Linked DNA regions of Rattus norvegicus. The protein of the gene in region 2 interacts with the protein of the main gene of each other region in a pairwise test. Links are inferred from orthologs where the notes say so. Each region holds a gene or a part of one and is shown on either strand. Other genes may lie near its edges.

The links.
Region 1: the proteins of Ehmt2 (region 2) and Klf3 interact in binary tests that used the Homo sapiens proteins (3 or more experiments, as listed by UniProt). The two-hybrid records come from large-scale screens. The link is inferred for Rattus norvegicus from reciprocal best matches to the Homo sapiens genes EHMT2 and KLF3.

Annotation. Positions count from the first base shown.
Region 1 is NC_086032.1:43,848,079-43,851,825, reverse strand, and holds the start of Klf3 (Krueppel-like factor 3), read left to right. Parts: upstream 1-999; 5' UTR 1,000-1,190; exon of another isoform or gene 1,191-1,235; intron 1,236-3,747. UniProt on the Homo sapiens protein: Binds to the CACCC box of erythroid cell-expressed genes. May play a role in hematopoiesis.
Region 2 is NC_086038.1:3,927,211-3,930,831, reverse strand, and holds part of Ehmt2 (histone-lysine N-methyltransferase EHMT2), read left to right. Parts: intron 1-279; coding exon 280-384; intron 385-480; coding exon 481-635; intron 636-731; coding exon 732-899; intron 900-3,281; coding exon 3,282-3,426; intron 3,427-3,609; coding exon 3,610-3,621. UniProt on the Homo sapiens protein: Histone methyltransferase that specifically mono- and dimethylates 'Lys-9' of histone H3 (H3K9me1 and H3K9me2, respectively) in euchromatin.

The DNA of each region.
Region 1 (3,747 bases), on a different chromosome or scaffold from region 2:
CGGAAAATAAGGCCAATGGGAGTTAAGGAGGGGCAACCTCCTAGAGCAGGGACTGGGGGTTGGGGAGGAGGGGGGTTGGAGAGGAGGAGGGTTGGTCTGGACTGGAGCCACGTTGCCCAGTAAAGGTTTGCAAGTGCTTTCTGGTTTGTGTTTACTCTTGAAGGGGAGGGCACCTTCCCCCTGCACAGTTTTGTATGGAAGGTGCAGTCCTTAGGTAAAGTTCAGTGGGACTCCAGGCACTGGGAACTACACTCTGACAGTTCTTTCTGGTTATTTTTAAGGTTCCAGCCATCCTTGGTTCAGGGTGGAATTTCCAGGAACTGGCTGCAGCCTGGAGCCAGTCAGGTCCCTCCCTGTCTTCCCACTCCCTGCAGGGTGGGGCCCCATGGGTGGAGGCCTAGCAGGGTGGAGTGAGGTGGGTCTCCAGTGATAGGGAGGGCACCTAGTGAGCCAGGCAGATGAGAGGCCCTGTGGCCTCACACAGCCTTTCTGGATTTGATTATATAACGCCTCAGCGAGGAGAGCCGTGAGGGCTTAGGCGAGGCTTTTTTTTTTTTTTTTTTTTTTTGAGCCGGGTACACAGCAGGATTAAGACATTGCGGGTATATTTCAATTTATCCTGGGTCGCTTGCCCTTAAAACTAAAACACAAAATTGTCAGCGAGCGTAAGGAGGAAAACAAATGTGTAACCCAAGCACTAACCAGGTGCCCTTGAACTTGAGAGCTGGCGTGAAGGATAGATACAGGTTTGGGTCTCCGCAGCCCTTAGACTAGCTTGGAGAGCTGGAGGGAGTGTGTTTGGTGGCTGCCTTTCCACCTGTCCTTATTTACATGTAAAATCAATTGCTTCACTCGGTCTTTCCGAAGTACAGGGTGTGGGCAGAATCTTATCTGAAGCTGTGTCCTGTTTGGACAAGTTGGACTCGCCCTGGCAACTCTCCATGGGGTGGAGCCGATGGGTGGAGGCAGAAAAGTAAAATTGGGTGGCTCGTTCAGAGCGGGGAGGGCGGATCACTGGCTCCTTGGGTCACTGCATCCCATCTGACACGAAATAGTGAACTTCTCCCTTTTACAAAACAACGTTAGTGCAGAAATAAGTGCACTAACGTTGAAATAACGAAGAAATAAGAGAGGCAAAGACTCGGAGACCCCCAGTGGGATTCTGTTCAGGTCGACAGTGGAAGAGCGAGGTGGGTGAGTCCTTGGATGGTGTGAAAACGGGACACCCTTCCAAGGTAGGTGCCAGCACCACAAAGCAAACCTGGCTTAGGGTGCCTGCCCCTCTGCCTTTCTGGCCATTGCATGGTACTTCCTGTAGTACTCGTCACTGGGAGCACTCAGAGTTTGCTGGGGAAATGTACAGAAAGGTTTCTTGAGAAAGGAAGTTCAGCTCCAGGGCCGGTGCTGGCCCTCCTGGCCAAGATACACAGTGAGCTCCGATCTTTGCCCTGTCAGTTCCTTTGGAGAGAGGGTGGGGACCAGTAACGTGCTTACTTCCTCTTTTGAGAATTGGAACTCTCCGGGAGTGAAAAAGGTACTCACTGATTGTTGCTTGTCTAGTATCTGTTCTCTGGACACCTGGCTGAGTTCCCCTTTGCAGGAAGCAGGTAATTGGGACAAGACTTAGGGTCAGGCTAGGAAGAGAAAAGAGCGGCAGGTCTTACTTTGTCCTCAACAAACTGAGAACGCTTGACTCTATTCAGCGCCCCCAACCCCCTTTCTTTGCCTCCCTTATGAAGCAGCTGTGCCGTGAGCCTCACAGACCGCAGGAGCGCTATCATTTCTAGAAGTCACCTAAATGATTCTCCAGGCTTCTAATATATAGTTCTACAGTAACATGCTGACAGAAATCTGACCCTCGGTTTGATAATCTGCAGTCAAAAGTAGAAGAGGGGAGGGCTCACAGAGGGACGTCACTGTTAAATGAAAATTCGGTTTTACAGACTCTTCCCCACAAAATGACCCAGTTGTTCCATTATGGGAAGTTACTTGGGGGAAAAGTGATTTCCCTATTTGTTGGTTTTTAAGCACTTCAGTAACTTTTGGAAACAAAAATAAGTTTTGCCCCCACACCATGCTGTTTCTCCCCCTGCCATTGCTTAATTCAGGTTGAGAGTGTTTAGCCAAACCAGAACTAAGATGTAAAGAAACAACCACATTTGAGGCTTTCTCATCTCTGCAGTGCCTACATAAAGTGGTTAATAGAATTCCTCAGCTTGGTTAAAACCCACAAGGTTTTAAAGACCCTGAGGCTGGTACACGCCAATCTTCTGCCAGCCTCTTAAGGCTCCATAGCCTGTTCTTGTGCGCCACCTACTGGTTCTCTTTAGAATCGCTGCCAGTGTGTAAGTGTCATGGTTTCAGAATCCCCTTTTAAAAATGAAGGTGTGGTAGTATGCATCTGTCACTCTAGCACTTGGGAGGCAGGTGGAGCTCTAGGTCAGCCGAGGCTGTATAGTGAGACTTTCAAAAGAAAAAAAACGAGCTCTCAGAGAAGGATAAAAGTGCAGAGCACTGCCCCTGGGTAACAGCGGCTGCCAACCAAGTTTAAAGATCTCGACTCTTACAGGTCTCAGCTTACGTTTTAGTTACGTGGAAGACACACTGCTAGTGCCATACTCATTATTTCCTGGTTTGAATATTAACTTTAATTCCAGTCTGAGGGATTGAATCCAGGGCCTTGTGGTGCTAGGTAAGCATTCTGCCAAGAGTTGTACCCCCTCTTCCCTGGTTCCTCACCAGAACCCATCAAGCCTAAAGCAGTGGCCAAGGCGATTGGTACAGAACGATTGCTGCTGTCATCTTGAACAGGCAGTCTGATGTGCATTGGTGCGCTCCCATTTTCTTGCTGTCCCTTTCTGTGTCTTTCCCATTTGTTGTTTAAACGTTTACCTACAGACTTAAAGAACTGAAACACCATCACACAGATATTCGAGGCCAGCCTCTGCTCCCAACTCTGTTGTGAGTCCAGAATGGCCTTGAACTTGTGGCATTCTCTTGCATCAGCTTTATCCCGAGGGCTGAGATCCAAGCATAGACCACCTCCCATCTCACTTGCTTCCCCCAGAAGCTTCTTATTAACAGTTGTGGGTTTCAGGCATCATTTATCCTGCTTTCTATATTGCTCTGGGGTTTGAAACCAATAAATGTAGTCGTGTATGTGTGTGTGTGTGTGTGTGTGTGTGTGTGTGTGTGTGTGTGAGTAGTACATACCACAAATCCCAAATCTGCATATCTGTTGAGATGGGTAAGTCAGAGGGAAAAGAATCCTGTAACTTGGGAAAGGAGTGTGGTCCGTATCCATCTTGTGTCAAGTGTTGCCTCCCTGGGGCTGGGCTAGGCTGTAGTCTGAGACCTCAAAGCCTCGGGTCTCTTTCCTATCACACCTGGAAATGTGAGAGCCAAGATAAGCATCTGGTGGGATAGATTCCGAGAGCAGACTCCAGTCAAAAGACTGAGATGTTGGTGGGAAGCTGCTTAAACTCTCTGACCTTATCAACGGGAGCAGAAGTGTCAGCTAGCTTTACGGTCTCTAAAGCTACCAGAAGATACCCCTTTCTTCTCTAAGGGTGGGGCACGGACAGGTCTTAGAGCCCTTACCTGTGTGTGTAGTTGCTCAATTAGGACCAGTTATTAGATGCCAAGACACAACGTGTTTTCTTTCTTCCTAATAAGATAAAGTTTTTGTTTTGTTTTGTTTTGGTGTCATTTTATCTTTTGCTGGGACACCTGAGAGGGTGATGGCAC
Region 2 (3,621 bases):
CCGTCCCTTGGGCTTCAGTCCTCACTTCTTCCTCAGCTGCTCTGACCCTCTCCCACCGCTCACATTGCTTCCCTCGTTTCTTTGGTTCATGGAACTTGAGTCCCTCCTCTTAACCTCTGAGCTCATCCAGCGAGGACCCCGCTGAGCCTGGGTGGGGAGGGTGTGCATCTGTGGAATGCCCCATGCTCTGGCTTTGGCTGTTCCCAGAGGTGCCCCTCAGCTTCCGTTTTCTGGCCAGCAAGTCTGGGCCCTGATTCCATTCCTCCTTCCGTCCCTCAGGACAGTGGGGGCTGGACACCCATCATCTGGGCAGCCGAGCACAAGCACATCGACGTGATCCGTATGCTGCTGACCCGGGGCGCCGACGTCACCCTTACCGACAACGTGAGGGGCACTCAAGGGAGCTGGGGGGACTGGTGGGGAGCAGGGGGACCCCGATCCTGTCACCTGCAACCCGATCTCTGCCCCTCACCTCCACAGGAGGAAAACATCTGCCTGCACTGGGCTTCCTTCACGGGTAGTGCCGCTATTGCCGAGGTCCTCCTGAATGCCCAGTGCGACCTCCATGCTGTCAACTACCACGGGGACACGCCCCTGCACATAGCCGCCAGGGAGAGCTACCATGACTGCGTTCTGTAAGCCCCAGCTTCCGGACCCACCTCCCCACACCCCACTCCCGGCACCCACACCCCACTGTCCAGTCTCTGACTCAGGTTTTCTATCCCTCTCAGGTTGTTCCTGTCCCGTGGAGCCAACCCTGAGCTTCGGAACAAAGAAGGGGACACGGCGTGGGATCTGACCCCAGAGCGCTCCGATGTGTGGTTTGCACTGCAGCTCAATCGCAAGCTTAGGCTCGGGGTAGGGAACCGGGCTGTCCGCACCGAGAAGATCATCTGCCGGTGAGTGCAGCCCAGATGCCACAGCTCCTCCACGTCTTCAGTCTCAGGCCCCTTGCCAGACGCAGGACGTCCCAGTAGCTCCTACAATCATCTTGCCTCTAAGGGAGGTGGAAATAAGGGGCCCTCAGTGGGCAAGGGAACCTGCAACCAAGCCTGACAAACTGAGTGCAGTCCCTGGAGAGCCATGTTTTTCTCTGGCTTACGAACACACAGCATGGCACAGTCGCACACCTGAAAAAAGCTAAAGGCAGGGTGTGGTGGCCACCCCTGTAATCTCAGCACGCAGGAGGCAGACGGTTGGTTGTTTTGAACCTGAGGCCAGCTTGGTTTGTATGTATTAGTGAGTTCCAGGCCAAGGAGGGCCACATGGTGAGACCTTATCTTTCTTAAAATAAATGAAAAATAAATAAATATGTAAGAAAAATAAAGAAAAGGACATGTTTTCCAAGCCTTAGAGGTAGCTGAGGCAGGAGGATTGTGAGTTTGAGGCAGATACCCAAATAAGAGTTTCAGACAGGCTGGAGAGATGGCTCAGAGGCTAAGAACACTGACTGCTCTTCCAGAGGTCCTGAGTTCAATTCCCAGCAACCACATGGTGACTCACAGCCATCTGAAAGGGGATCTTCCGCCCTCTTCTGGCCTGCAGGTGTACATGCAGATAGAGCGCTCATAAACATAAGATAAATAAAGCTTTTTAAAAAAAAAAAAAAAAAGAATTTCAGACAGGAGCTGGGTGTCACCTGTGACCCCCTCCTATTCTGAAGGCTGGAGGAAGACCTGCCTCTTGAGCCCACGGGTTGGAGATCAGTATTTGTTATTATTGAGACTCAGACCTTAAAAAGGAAAATCAAACCAAACCAAAAAACCCCGCAAGGCTAGTGTGAGGCAACCCAACTACTGAATGTGCATTCTGAGTTCAAGCCAAGAACCCACCAGGAGAGAGCTGCCTCCTGAAGGTTGCCCTCTGACCTTAATTCCACACTGTATCCTGTGTGAGCGCGAAAGGTCCTCAAGCCAGGCGTGGTGGTTTAGACCTTTAATCCACTACTCTGGAGGGAGGCGAAGGCAGATCTCTGGGCTCTAGGGCTACACAGTGAGATGCTGTCTCAAGAAGGGAGCGGTTGGAGGCCACCAGGAATGTTCACTGTCTTTGAGGAGAGGTTTTTTTTTTTTTTTTTTTTTTTAAGACAGGGTTTCTCTGTGTAGCCCCGGCTGTCCTGGAAGTCACTCTGTAGACCAGGCTGGCCTTGAACTCACAGAGATCCCTGTGCCTCTGCCTCCCTAGTGCTGGGATTAAAAGGAGTGCATCACTCTGCCAGAAAGGACTGTGACCTCTAATGTTAGCACTGGGGAGGAGTAGCAGATGGATCTGAGTTCTAGGATAGCCAGAGCTACAGAATGAGAGTGTCTCAAAGAAAGGAAGGAAGAGGCAACACGTTAAAAAGTTAAAAAAGGGGGTCGGGGATTTAGCTCAGTGGTAGAGCACTTGCCTAGCAAGGGCAAGGCCCTGGGTTCGGTCCTCAGCTCCGGGGGGGGGGGGGGGGGGTAAAAAAGGGATCTGGAGAGATGGCTCAGCGGTTAAGAGCACTGGCTGCTCTTCCAGAGGTCCTGAGTTCAATTCCCAGCACCCACAGGGTGGCTCACAGCCATCTGTAACTTCAGATCCATGACCCAGAGGATCCATGCCTCCTTCTGACCTCTGCGGGCAGCAGGCGTGCATGTGGGGTGCATACAGAAGTGCAGGCAAAGTATTCTTAACACGTAAAATGAGAAAATGTTTTTTCAGGTGAGCAGGAATACTAGTGCGTCCTGTGCTAGCTGGGTGCTTGCAGTCTGTGTCAGTGCTACACTAAGGAAGCGGGAAGGCCATGGTCTCACTTTTAAGGCCAGCCAAGCGAGGCATTATACCAAGGCTCAGCCTCCAACTAAAATTTAAAAGTCCAGAGTCCAGCAGGGTGATGACATATACCTCTAATCCTAGCCACTTGGGAGCTAGGGCAGGAGAGTCAAGAGTCCAAGTCATTCTTGGCTATCTCGCTATTTGGGGCCAGCAGGCTATATGATGCTGTATCTCACAGAGGAATATAAGGGGCCGGGGCCGGGGCCGGGGCTGGAGTAGAGTGTTTATTGGCCTCACATGCACAATGTTGTTGGGCCTCACCAAGAAACAAAGATAACCTGTGCGATGTTGAGGACATAATTATTTCTAAGCTGAGATTGTTTCCCTGGTGTCTTAACTTCCCTTTTTTTGTTTTCAAGAATGTCTCACCGCATGCACTGGGATTAAAGGTGCCACCACCCCAGCACCCTTATACGGAGGAATCCTTGAGCTTCCCCTCAGGAATGCTCCGGCCCCTACCTAACTTTACTGCCCTTCTGTAGGGATGTAGCCCGAGGCTATGAGAATGTGCCCATTCCCTGTGTCAATGGCGTGGATGGGGAGCCATGCCCAGAGGACTATAAGTACATCTCCGAGAACTGTGAAACGTCCACCATGAACATCGACCGAAACATCACTCACCTGCAGGTGAGACACAGGCCCCACCGGGCTCGAGGGAGCAGGGGCTGAAGGAGCCTGATGTGGGAGTCCCTCCACACTGGGGCACATGAAGACTCCCCCTCTCGCTGGGACCGTCACCAGCCAGCGTCCTGAAACGAACCCATGCTCCAGGGGAGAGCCCTCTCACTCACACCACTCCTTCCCGCCCAGCACTGCACGTGT